3 linked regions of the Drosophila melanogaster genome follow. The gene in region 2 interacts genetically with the main gene of each other region. Each region holds a gene or a part of one and is shown on either strand. Other genes may lie near its edges.

Region 1 (3,246 bases), on a different chromosome or scaffold from region 2:
CGATCATTGCACTTTGGAGACCCGTAATCTGGAGTCAGACCCGGTACCCAGACACCGTGTCCAACACAATGCCAGCCGGAGGCTAGCGTCGACTCCTGCTCGCTGCACTCATTTAATTGCATTATGCCGCAGGTTGTCGCATTGCCCTGAAAGTCCTGGCTGCCACTCCGCCACTCCAAAGACACTGCATTAATTTGCATGTGAAAAACTGCAGCTTCGCTGCGCTGTCGGTGTTGTTTTTTTTATTTTTTTTTATTTTTATGGCTGCTCGCTGTTTTTGCCCAGAGTTAATGAAGTCAACAAGCTGCGGCTGCATTTCATCAGAGTGAGAAGCGGCGGGCCAAAAGGATTTGCCAGGAACAATGCTGTGTATAATTTCCCCCTGTCCTAACAACTGGTGAAAGTTTATGTTACATTCGCATGGGCAGCAACATAATTTACTGCCCAGAGAGCCACAGGAATTCCAAAATCCGCTTGGTTAGTTTTTTTTTAAGGTATAGTATGCATTCTAAAAGTGATTTGATATTTGGCTTTAAAATTTCATTAAAAAATCAGAGATTAACTTTGCAAAACACATATTCTTGTTTTCAAATTCCACGTATTACAAAAACTTACACAAATCAAGCAATAAACATCTTCATTCATATCTAAATGGTTGACTTATTTAAGAGTACTCTTATTTTACTTATAAACTTATTTAACAATAGAAAAAATATAACTAAAGTATTAAAGTATTTTATACATTTTCGTCCTACTTACGTGTAGTACAAACAAAACATTTGGAGCCTTATGGATTTGGTAGCATGAACCAATAAAGTAACATACTTGATACCACTTCCATTTAAAACTTGAAACAGCCCTTTTGTCTGGGAGGAACGCGTCGAGTACGATTTTGGCTTACTTCCCGTTGAAAACAGAAGCTACCGCTGGCTCTGCTCAAGATGTTCTCCGCAGTCAACCAGGAGATGTGCGCATGCTCACCGAATTTTCTGATCGAATTCCTTACTCTCTGATGGGCACTTGCGGCCGAGTCGTTGTTGCGGTACTCAAATATATAGAAGAACTGGTCTAATTGATACTCGTAGACTCGAACGATGGTAAAGGGATGTATCTTCAACATCTCCTGGTACACTTGCCATGGTCTAAGCGACGATTCTACGTTTTTGAGCACCAGCTCGCGATTGTTGGTCGATGGCTCCACCCTTAAGCACATGCAAAGCTGTCGGAATCGCATTGGCAGACTGGGATTATTAGGGTTAGTGCTGTTTTATGTGAAAATTATTACGAAGTACGTACTATTGCATTGCCGATTCCTTGAGGTCCACATTGATATATTGCAAGTAGGCGTAGCCGCGAGAATTTCCCGAAAAATCAATCTTATAGCGCATAATGTAAACTTCACCCAGTTCGCTGGCCACTTCCACAATCCACCGCGGAGAACAACTGTGATTCCTCGGTATACACGAGAGAAACAGCTAGAAGCAAAAACGTATTAGTGTCTCCGTAAACTTTTGAGACTAGATGCTTCACTAGACACTCACCTCGCCCTTTCCCTCATCCAGTAAGGATTTTAGATTTTCATCAAGGACTTTGCGCGTAGTTATGGTAATAGTGCCATTTACTTGACTGGTGCAGTATTTGCTCTCGAAATCCATTTTAAAAATAGCAAAAAAAAAAAAATACACAGCATACACGCGTGCATCAAAAAAAAAAAAAAAAGCTAAGATGCCAATGATTTAGTGTGACCAAATAAGCTTTAAAACATACAACGCTCGCGACGTTGCCAGATAGTCAATGAAGTTGGTAAAATTCTTTATACTTAACACTTAGGTAAAGTAACGGAGGGGCATAAACTTATTATTGTTTATGAACTTGTTTGAATGTTTAACATTTGTGTAAAATAGAGAGTGTTTTCATATTATATTTTTGCGTAAGAGGTCTTTTTTTGGCATTGCTGCGAACTCAGCTCTATACGAAGGTATTCTATTTTTGCTATGTACTTTATGCATTTACTTTACTCTTTTTCCAAACCGCTTTTTGCATGTCAGGCAATTTCTTTGCTCTTTATTTTTGCTTTCTTTTGACAGGCTGCGCGTGCTTTTTTCTAGCTCATGTTTAACAATATAAATTTATGCAGGCAGTCGGTCGTTTGCAACTTTTGCTCACAGTTCGCCACAAGCCGCAGCACCTATGTATGTATGTATGTAGGTTCGCATCGCATTCGCTGTTGTTGTTGCTGCGGTTAAGCCGCCCATCCGCCACCCACTCCACCACCCACTCACCCCACCAGGGGGCATCTTGATGGAGGTTGCGGTGCACTCAAGTGCCTGCTGCCGCTGCTGCTGCTTCATTTTCCTAATTTATACGCGCGCTGCGCTAATGAAAATTTACGTGGCAACCGCATACTGTTTTGTTGCTACTGCTGTTACACTAATAATTCATTGTTTCGAAATGGCCATAAGCAAATTACTGACATTAAACTATTTGTGGGAGGTAACATGTTGTTAGATTAATACACAACAGTTTTCTTAAATGAAGTGGTAAATGCAAAAGCTATCACTGTGAAGTCCAGTTTAGTCCACGTAGTGTAGAGACGCACCAGGTAAGAGTGTTTCGACAAGAAAATCCATTAAGTTCTTTGAAAAGTAAGCTCTGATATTCTTTGTTTAAAGTGTAGTGTCGCTGCTCCTTGTGCTTGTTGCCAGACGTGGGCCCACCACTTGAAGCATCTCTGAGAAACCCTGAGCTCCACTTTTGACCCCCCTCCCCTTTCTGCGGTTGAGAGACGTTTGGTGACAGTCGCCGAGTAAGGCCACTAGTCCCACTTATATTTCCGCATTTCCTTACCCGATTTGAGTAAGCGGTTTCATTTTATTCAAATCATTAAAATTACAAATATTTTTTGGGAACAAAATCAGTTGATTCCGGTTGAATATGCGAATGTGGCCATGAAGGATCTAAGCGAGGAGTTACTGGATCGCCATTTCAGGCAGCAGCTAGCCAGTTACAAGTATGCCGATCAGGCAAGGGCTAAGCAGTCGGATCGCCCCATCATGGCCAGATGGATAAAGATATTCGAGAAGGCTCCTCTCAGCGAGAAGTTGGCCCGAAATAGCCTGATGCTGCTCATGCATGGCCACTTGAAGGACTTTGGAGTGCTCAAGGAACCGTTCACGGATGTGCGTAACTACAGTAGGAATCTGAACGTAATTTTGGATGAGTACAGAGGCCAGCCATGTAAGAAGT
Region 2 (4,596 bases):
ATCAACAATCACACAACAGTTTGGGGCAGTTTCTGGAACGCCGGACGCTGGGGTTACAAGTGCTGCAAGTCCTTCATCAAGAACTCCTACTGCGTGGGCATGCAGGAGCCAGAGGGCTACTCGGAACATCATTCTACGAGCTCCACTGCAGCGGCTACTACAGAACCTGCAGCTCAAAGCCAATTCAAGGTACCAGAAGTGCCACCTGAAAGGCCCACTTCCGAAGTGGACTCAGCATCGAGTTCGGAACCCTCCTCATCCGAAGAGGAGGAGGTAAAACCTGAGAAGAAGAAGACCAAGAAGAAGTCGAAGAAGCGCGAGAAGAAAAAGAAGGCTAAGGAGCAGCGAAAACAAAAAGGCAAGAACAAGGAGACCAAGGACAAAGATAAGACAAAGGAAAAAGATATTCCCGAGGAACTGGACGATCGCAAACGAGCCTATAACAGCATGTATGATGTGAAGGCGCCCACAGAGGACGAGATCGAGGAGTGGAAGAAGAAGCGGCCAAGGGCAGAAGATCCCATGCTGCAATTTATGTAGGCAATAAAGTACAACTGATTCTCTTATATAAAAACTTTCTAATCTTAACAAGTAAAACATTAGGGGCTTACACAAACGTCATTTTGAATATTAAACGATCGCATACTGCTCGTACAGCAACTCCCTGATCTTGTAGTACTCCTCGGATAAGCATCCCTCCATGGCTACCTTGCCGGCATCCACTCGCCTCAAGGCCAGAGTTCCGTTGCTGCACCAGAGCACGCCGCCGGAGAACTCCGAGTTGATGTTATTACGCATGAGAGTCTGCTTAAAGTCGGACAGTTTCAGCTCGTTAATGAGCACTGAGTTGTGGATAGGAATCTCATCGTCCGCCAGTGTTTCAAGAGTCAATGTCTTGCCTTCTTGCACGGAAGCGTCCTGCTCCACAGTTACGTCCATGGGTGCTTCGATGGCCTTCACCCGCATGCCCAGGCGACCATCCACCCACGCCACCTCCGCGTCCTTGCCCTTTTGGAACTGCAGCTGGGAGACAAGTCCTTCCGTCAGGCGTACCTGATAGATGTGAATCTCACTGGTGACATCAATGATTTCCCCCTTCTGCGGAGTAAAAACGCGCGCACCGACATTCTGTTCGCAGTGCCTGGCCACCACTTGTGTGCCTTCGGCAGTGCCGTGTATGACGATAACCCTTCGTGGCCTCAACTGGGAGAGGATCTTTAGCATGGACTCGCCATCAGAGCGACCTTCGAAATCGATCCTCTGGACTTGGGCATTCACCTCGATTGTTTTGCGTTGGCTTATCAGCTTGGTGGGCTTCTCCAGCAACTGAACATCATTGTCGACGATTCCTCCGTTAGCCTGTTGTTCTGCTCCTATGCCCGGTTCTTCCTTTTTAACATTCTCCTTGTTTTGCTCCTCCATAGGTACAAACTCATAGCCTGTCGCATCCGCAATCCGGTAGTCGTCTAGATTGATGATCTCCCCATACTCATCGCACTTCACCTTTTCCTCGTGATAGGGGAACATCACGTGGTGTCGTTTGTTGGACTTGAAAAAACCGGAGTGATGGCGACCCTCCGGTCTGACCACAATATCATGCTTGCCCGTGATGACGCTCATCTCGATGTCGTCCTCGGACTCGGAACTGCTCTCTTCCTCCACATCGGGCTTTACGATAAGGGGATTAAGTTTCTCGCCCTGTGTGCGTAGGTACTCCTCCAACTCAGCTCCTTCTAAGTCAACTCTTCGCCTGACGTCCAATTCGATTTGCTTGCCCGGTGCGCAGTTCTCCACCAGTTCCATGGCTAAAGTGCCGGGAGACGTACGAGTAGTAAGGATTATGCTATTGTTGGCATTGCTGGCCCATTGCACGAAGAGATCCCTCGTGAATCCGCTCTCCAGATCTGGGGTACTGGCCAACACCACTTTTGGACCAGCGGGCAATTTATAGACGTCCGCCAGTGAATGGCACAGCTGGATGTGCTTGAACTGAAAGGGATTGTTGCGGGCACCTTCGAAAGCCTTCGTGAGCTTGTCACTCATCCATTCTATCTGCGACTTGGCGAACTCAATCACGTTGTAGCTCACATTGTTAAGAAGGGCCAGGGAGTAGGCCATTAGCCCAGATTCCTTGTTCTTCCACAGCTGGTCCAGCATGTGGGCCAACTCCAGGACTCGTCCTGCCGTATCCACGGCTATCAGGACATTGCCGTTGTTACGCACCGTTTGCAGGATGTTGGTCATTAGCTTTTCATCGCGGGCCCTCCTTCTGGCCTGCTGGTACTGTGCGTTGTAGGCGTCGGTAATGAGCAGCGAAGGTCTTTGCAGCCTGTCCAGCTCGCAGCCACTTAAGTGGCGCTCCTTCTTATGGTTGAAGTCGGTGGCGTACACAATATCCTCCTCGCCCACCTTGACGATCTTCCAGATGGTGCCGCCGATCATGTGTCCAGCGTTCAAAGGCGTAATGGATATTCCATATCCTTTGTCCTTCAGTGAAACTGTTTGGTTGTATTTCAACTGGGTTATCTTTTCGAAAGCCGTGTCCACGTCGTCCAGCGAAAATAGATCGAAGTCTCCCATATTGAAGTGCGACATGTAAAGGTCATACATAAACATTTGACCCATTTTGAACACGGGAATGGTGGCGTAGATGGGGCAATTGAGCCCCAGCTTGCCCACCAAGTATGGCAGGGCTCCAAGATGATATGCATCCGGATGGGATAGCAGCACGGCGTCCAGGGTGTGCACCTGCCTGGGAATACACAAAATATTTAGGTTATTGTTTTCCTGAAATATGTATACAATTGTCACCTCTTCAGTTCCTTGATAAAGTTGGCATCGAACTTTTCGTCCCATCCGCAGTCAAGTAATATCCGCACATCGTCTATCTGTAGGATATAGCATGGCGGGGACTCGTCCATCGCCCCAGATATAGTGTGCAGCTTGATAATGGAGGTCATTTTTGCCAATTAAACCACCGGTGCATTTGTTTAAGAAATTGTAAAAGGAAACCAAGAGTTCTTCGCCGGTTCAGGGATGGGAAACTGTCACGGCGTTGCCAGAGTGCTGTTGCTTTGTTTATACAGTACGTACTTGTTGAGCGAACAGTACAACCCGATAATAAACAAAGATTGACATTTTAAATGTTATAAATTAAAAACTTTGATTATGTCTCTCATGTATTAACCATACATACATATGGCTACAACCTTCTTCAGTTCAATTACCTTCTCTTTAATGAGTCAACATTTATAACTATGCATCCTTATCAATAGAAGTCTCAACAATCTAGTATAAGTAAACACAACTTTTTATCAAATTATTGTTTAATTAATAAGGGTGGGGTAGAGTCATGCCGTTTTAAAGAACCATGGATGCCCAATCGGTTGCATACTTTTTATAAAAACAACTTCTTATGCTATTTTGTATTAAAGGCATCCTAAAAATTGATTTCATAAACATTTTCTTTTTGGTTAGTAGACTTTAGTTGTTCGTAAAAACCATTTAAAAAATTAATGAATATTATGTGAGAAAATAAACCAAAAAAAAAACAATTCGAGCTGGTGAAGTTTCACTGTCTGTTGGTTTATGCGTTGCGTCCCTGGTCGTCAGCTGTTATTCGCCAACCGGCCGCGAAGATTGCGTCCGAAATTAGGATGCGGAGTTTCCAAAGATCGCACTGAGTCAACTTTTCCTGCCAACAATGTTCGTGCGGCTCTGGGTCCGCAGCTTCCATAAATATGATCTTCTCATCGCCATCGGACTGATCACTCTCATCGTGTACCTGTGTCTGCCCTTCCGGTTCGCATCGCACTACGACTACATCGAGGAATCAAAGATCGAGGGGGCTCTGGTGCCGCAGGTGACCAGAAATGTCTCCCAGCAGGAAGTTTTCGAATGCACCTACTCGGAGATCATTGCCGAAAACCGGTTCGTCTACCACCTGGCCCATTACCATGACGCGGTGCAGAGGGGCGCGGAGATCCGTCCTGGCGGCGAGTTCCGTCCGGAAGGATGTCAGGCTCGCTACAGCACCGCCATCATTGTGCCGTACAGGCAGCGGGAGGAGCAGCTGCACGCCTTCCTCACGTACATGCACAATTACCTGCCGCAGCAGCTGATCCACTATCGGATTTTCCTGGTCGAACAGTTCGATCATAAGCCGTTTAACAGGGCGATGCTCTTCAACATTGGCGCCCAGGTGGCTGCGGAGTATGGATTTCCCTGCCTCATCCTTCATGACGTGGACCTCCTGCCACTGAATTCGGGTCAAATATATGCCTGCTCCGAACGTCCACGGCACATGAGCTCTGCCCTGGATCACTGGCGATTCCGACTGCCTTACCGCGGTCTTTTCGGCGGCGTGGTGGCCATCAACACCGCCCAGTACCAGCAGATCAACGGCATGTCCAATCTGTATTACGGCTGGGGCGGAGAGGACGATGACCTCTACGAGCGCCTGCAGGCCCTGAATATCGACATTTGCCGATTCGCAATGGAGTTCAGTAAGTACACCATGCTGAAGCACAAACAGGAGCAGCCGAATGCCAATCGCGTGGCACTGCTGAGATCGGCGACTCTGCGCCAGCACGCGGA
Region 3 (4,724 bases), on a different chromosome or scaffold from region 2:
GCCCCATTCCCCTTCCCCTGTGCTTCTTCCTACTTTTATAAGATTTTAATTTGAATGTCGTGGAATCCCTGGAAATCTGAAAGCGGACACCTAACTCTATTGGGCTGTTAATCAAATTGAATTGTTCGAGCTGCCGTGGCTGCAAGCGTTGTTCGCCTAATTAGTTTGTAATCAAAGTCAGCTTACGATTGACTTGTTGATGGATTCGATTCAACTCGCAGGGCAGTTCCAAAGCCCTAAGTCCTAAGTGCACTTCGGGAACTCTGCAGGTGAAGTGTGCCCCAGCTCGAGGAGCACCCAGCTCAACTTGGAGCATGGTGCCATCGCAATCGCAAAAAGCACAAACAGTGCGCCTGTTTCTCGCGGCTAACACCGAAATCATCTGCTCCGGCGTCTGTGTTTATACAATGTAATCGAATGGGAATGGGATTGAGACTGTGACTGGGGATTGGGGATTGGGGATTGGGGATTGAGGACTGGGAAGACGTGTGCCATGCAACCTGTTGTGGGCCAGCCCCCGTTCCGGGTAATTCGAACGGCTTTCTGGCCGCTGGTCGGGATTAGTAAGCGCTGCTGCTGCCAAACGGTCGAGACAATCGCTGCTATCCGCCAGATACTATTTTTAACATTTTCCGTTTAATTGCCGCGTGAGGGAGCTACGCACAAAGAAATCGAATAGAGCGCGGCGCAATGAATGAAATTTGTCAATTTAATGGGTTGCACACACATGTGTCTCTGCCTCCGCAGCCGAATGTATCTGCATCTGCATGTCGGCTGCTTTTCGCCTTGCTGCGCCGCATTTGCCAAACTTTGAATGAAACTGAAGTGCACTGGTCGAAAGTCCCGCCGGTGGGGAGCTCGTCCCCAAATTACGACGGATTCTGCACGCCGGTGCGTAAAATGATCAAAGCTGCTGCGGCCAAACTTGCGTATCTGTATCTGTTTCTGCCCGAGTCCCGAATCTAGGCGAATGGAATGCGCAAATTTGTCAATTTGGCCACTTCCGAGATGGAATCCACATGGCTGGTATCTTGATGATCCGAAATAGGCAACCAGAACCGTACGCAACATCTGCTCCCATCTCTGCACTCAATTAATCATTCGACTTCTGACGACAAACACGCGTTGGCCAATTCGTTTAAACGCTCCCAATCCCCCGAATATCGCAAATATCGAATTTAGCCGGACAAAAGTGGGTCCACGCCCACTCATCCTCACACGAAGTACAAAAGTTGTCGGCCAAACAGTCGCTATAGTTAATAATTTCATAAATTTTGTGGCGAGAAACGAAATGATAAAGCCAAATGGTTTCATAAATAAACACTGTGTGCGTTGGTTTCGAGCACCAAACGGTTGGAAAGCCTTTGCGATGAATGAATGACAACTGGAAACTACTTTTCCTTTGGATCAAATCCATCTCATATCTTTTCCTCTAATTAATAAATACATCTGAGGTGGGTGGGCCGTTGAGTAGCCAACTTGGAAACGTGGAAAACTTAGAAAAAAATTGAGCGGTGAATAAAACAACAGAATTTTTCTTTTGGTGTGTAAACAAGTTTCCTTTCCAAATATAAGTGAACATGCAATTCCCGTGCTTTTGCCTTCGTTTCGATTCCCTCAGAATTGCTTCTCAAGTGCCTCGAGTTGGTTTTCCGATGGCTTTTGGCCATTTGGAATTCGCCAATGCCACGCCGCCAAAAAGCGAAGTGCACTTTGGCTCTCAGCTCTCCTCATTGAAATCGGCAAAACGTTGTGAATCTATGGACTTCGATGATAGATTGATCCATTAGAAAGCGGATAGAGATACGCCGTGACATTTATGGACTGCATTAATGTTTTCGCTGCACACGCTTTAAAGGCTATTTAAAGCACTAAAATATATTTTTAAATGAAGTCTTCAAATAGGCAAAGTGATTGATACTTTCTCAGAGAACTTTAGGCTTTTCTAATCAAGAATAACGCTTTGCTGTAAGTTCCATTTTAACCGTATGGGATGTTTAATAAAAGGTCTATGTTCTATGATCTTATCTATAGGTGATAAGTGATTTCTTGAACATGTGGTTAGTTCTTCTAAGGCTTAGTTTGACCTATTGAAATTATTATTTTTCTGAAACTTTTGTATATATTTATGGTTTTATAATTTTAAGGTTCCAATATGGAAATGTATAATCTAATATTAGCTATATTTATTCACATAATCGTCCCGAAATTTATCATAGTTATTATATCTCCTTTTTCAAGTATCAATGCCAATTTTATTTTAAATTAATCCCCCATATACCATTCGTTTTTCTTATTGTGAAAGAATATCCGTCCTACTTATGCATCTACATATATTTTTGCCATGGTTTCTAGTGTTCCACAGTAAACTTTTGCCGTCGGCAGCATGAAAACTGAATCTCGCTGCTCACCTGTATTTTGATTATTTATTGTTGATACGTATCCGAGTTTGTTAGTTTTTGTTTGTTACTCTTTGTTTGGGTTTGTGCCTTTTGCCTTGGCTTTCCGATTCGACTTGTGCTATATCCGCAAATGTTAGAGTTGGCCAAGAAGGCGCTGATTTCGGCTGTGCGGCATTTCCTTGATTTGCATTTTGGCCAAACTCTTCAAATCGAAGCCATGTGCCGTTCGCGCACGCACACACTCTTAGTCGCGATCACACTGGGCACTAACTAACACAAGCTTGCCGTTGAATATTGCTCATACGCACTGTGCGAACACGTGTTGCAAATTACTTTTCGCGAAAACTTCGCTGTCCTGCGCGACTCGGACAAATTGCACCTGCAAATTTGGTGGGCAAAGCTGCGACGACAGCACTGAGGCAGTGCCAACAAAAAATGGCCGCCCGCGGATTGATTAGCTCAATTTTGCTCGCTTTTCTCTCGCTTCGTGTGCGTTTATGTGGCGCGATACTGATGCGTTCATTCAGGAAACACGCAAATTAAATATAACTTTGTGCGCGGGACGTCAAAAGACCGCCGGATCCGGCCTGGATTACTAAGCGAGCGACGTGGGTAGAACGGGCAGCGAACCGCACGCGACGGAATCTCGAAAACAACTGAGAACTCTCCGGTTCTCAAACCTAATCGAACCGAAAACGGCCGAGACAAAAGGCAGAAAATGGTTGGTGCCGCTGGCGGTGTGCGTGCGCCAGAGCGAGATGGCCGACTGGTCGTGCGAGTGTGTGAGTGAGCGAACACCAAGGGGGTGAACTGCACAGTGGGATGCACCGACACTTTGTGCGTCACTTTCCAAAAACGTTATAGGAAAATAATGGAATCAAGTGAAGCGAGACTTACATTCACTGACTTTTATAAAGTCACTGGGCACACACAGTTCATGATTACACATATATGAACTGATGATAACTCAGAATTCACTACGTTTTAGTTGTTTTCAATATCTTGCCTTTACAAGTGTTTTTATTTTTATTCTATTTTATTTTATTGTATTCTAATGTTTTCGTAGTAAGACATAGTACATTTTTCCGTTATTATATGCTATTGTATCTTCAAAACATTAGAAAATGGTTTTATATATTTTTAAAGTGGCTTACAATTAAGTTAAGTTAAGTTAAGTTAATTGGACAAATATTTTTATAAACGTGTAGCCATTGAATTTGACACACGGTGCCAATCGACAACAGTTTGACAGCCACTGCGAGAGGGGCAGCGTGCGAAAGAGCGAGAGAGCGCATAAACAGGTTGACCGAAAGAACGCCCCCTCGGCTTACCTGTTCGCACACACACACACACACACACACACACATAGATGCCCTCACGCACACCGGCGCACTGGAGGACAGCAACGTGCTGATTGGTCAGCGGAAACGCATGCCAGCAAAAAGGCATGCGCATTGGGCGCCATATTGAAAGGCGGAAATCGGAGGTGATTGCAACTGCATCGCTGCTCCTCCCCAGGAACTCCTCATCCTGGCTGAAAGGATGCCCGGTGCAATAGCTGCCATCCTACAATGCCGTTTGAATTACTCACCGCAATAGTTCCATGCATCTCTCGTATAATTGCAATTACTGGCCTTTTCTCATATTCATTCACTCCACTTTTTTGGTTTAACTCAACCTTGTGGTCCTTCCACATTAGTGCGGTTTGCATTGTATTATTTAATGATTCCGAAGGAGATGAAGCCGTTTGGTAATTGAAGCCAACTAATTGTGTTAATGATTTACTAATATATTTAGTTTACTAAATATTTACTATATACACAGGCTCCTTTCGTCTTCAAGTCCTTGTTCATGATAACTGAAATAACTTGAACCTAATTTAATTTCAAACTATTAACATGATCTAGAGACACCTGTACAAAGTGCAGCGATGCGTTCAGAATGCCTAACTTTCTTTTTGAATACAAATAGTCAACTTAAATCACAGAGTACTACACTGCTTAGTGAATTTTGTAGATGGTAATTAATGTAATTAATGTAAATTAATGTAATTAATGTAATGTAACGCTAAATGTATAGAAATTAGTCAAAGTACCTGTTGTTGGAGGAACCGCTTAGACAAATGGTATTATTTTCAGCACTTCTTTATTAAAATTCTGTCCCATTTATCGGTAGCTCGATCTCAGCGTGTGCCGTGAAAATCGCATCGAGGACCACCCAAAATGCAAATTCGGAAACGGAGCTGGGAAACTCGATCGAAATCCAACAAAGATGATGGACTAATGGGGCGCCAGGCCGGTGCACCTAATCAAGATCGGCAAC

What was found. A genetic interaction does not mean that the proteins touch.
Region 1: of Cpsf100 (region 2) and tut, changing one enhances a phenotype caused by changing the other (phenotypic enhancement), as found in Drosophila melanogaster (one study listed by BioGRID).
Region 3: of Cpsf100 (region 2) and so, changing one enhances a phenotype caused by changing the other (phenotypic enhancement), as found in Drosophila melanogaster (one study listed by BioGRID).

Annotation. Positions count from the first base shown.
Region 1 is NT_037436.4:8,209,017-8,212,262, forward strand, and holds tut (tumorous testis), read right to left. Parts: upstream 1,728-3,246; 5' UTR 1,656-1,727; coding exon 1,542-1,655; intron 1,476-1,541; coding exon 1,297-1,475; intron 1,242-1,296; coding exon 842-1,241; 3' UTR 561-841; downstream 1-560. Other genes in the region: CG8006 (uncharacterized protein), read left to right, coding at 2,949-3,246. UniProt on the Drosophila melanogaster protein: RNA binding protein that forms a complex with bam and bgcn, involved in 3'UTR-dependent regulation of a subset of mRNAs. Preferentially binds a long isoform of mei-P26 transcripts.
Region 2 is NT_033777.3:29,033,027-29,037,622, reverse strand, and holds Cpsf100 (cleavage and polyadenylation specificity factor 100), read right to left. Parts: upstream 3,051-4,596; 5' UTR 2,961-3,050; coding exon 2,812-2,960; intron 2,753-2,811; coding exon 631-2,752; 3' UTR 561-630; downstream 1-560. Other genes in the region: Slu7, read left to right, coding at 1-540; beta4GalNAcTB (beta1,4-N-acetylgalactosaminyltransferase B), read left to right, coding at 3,704-4,596. UniProt on the Drosophila melanogaster protein: Component of the cleavage and polyadenylation specificity factor (CPSF) complex that plays a key role in pre-mRNA 3'-end formation, recognizing the AAUAAA signal sequence and interacting with poly(A) polymerase and other factors to bring about cleavage and poly(A) addition.
Region 3 is NT_033778.4:7,417,686-7,422,409, reverse strand, and holds the start of so (sine oculis), read right to left. Parts: upstream 3,061-4,724; 5' UTR 2,412-3,060; intron 1-2,411. UniProt on the Drosophila melanogaster protein: Required for visual system development. May transcriptionally regulate genes necessary for optic lobe invagination and Bolwig's nerve formation.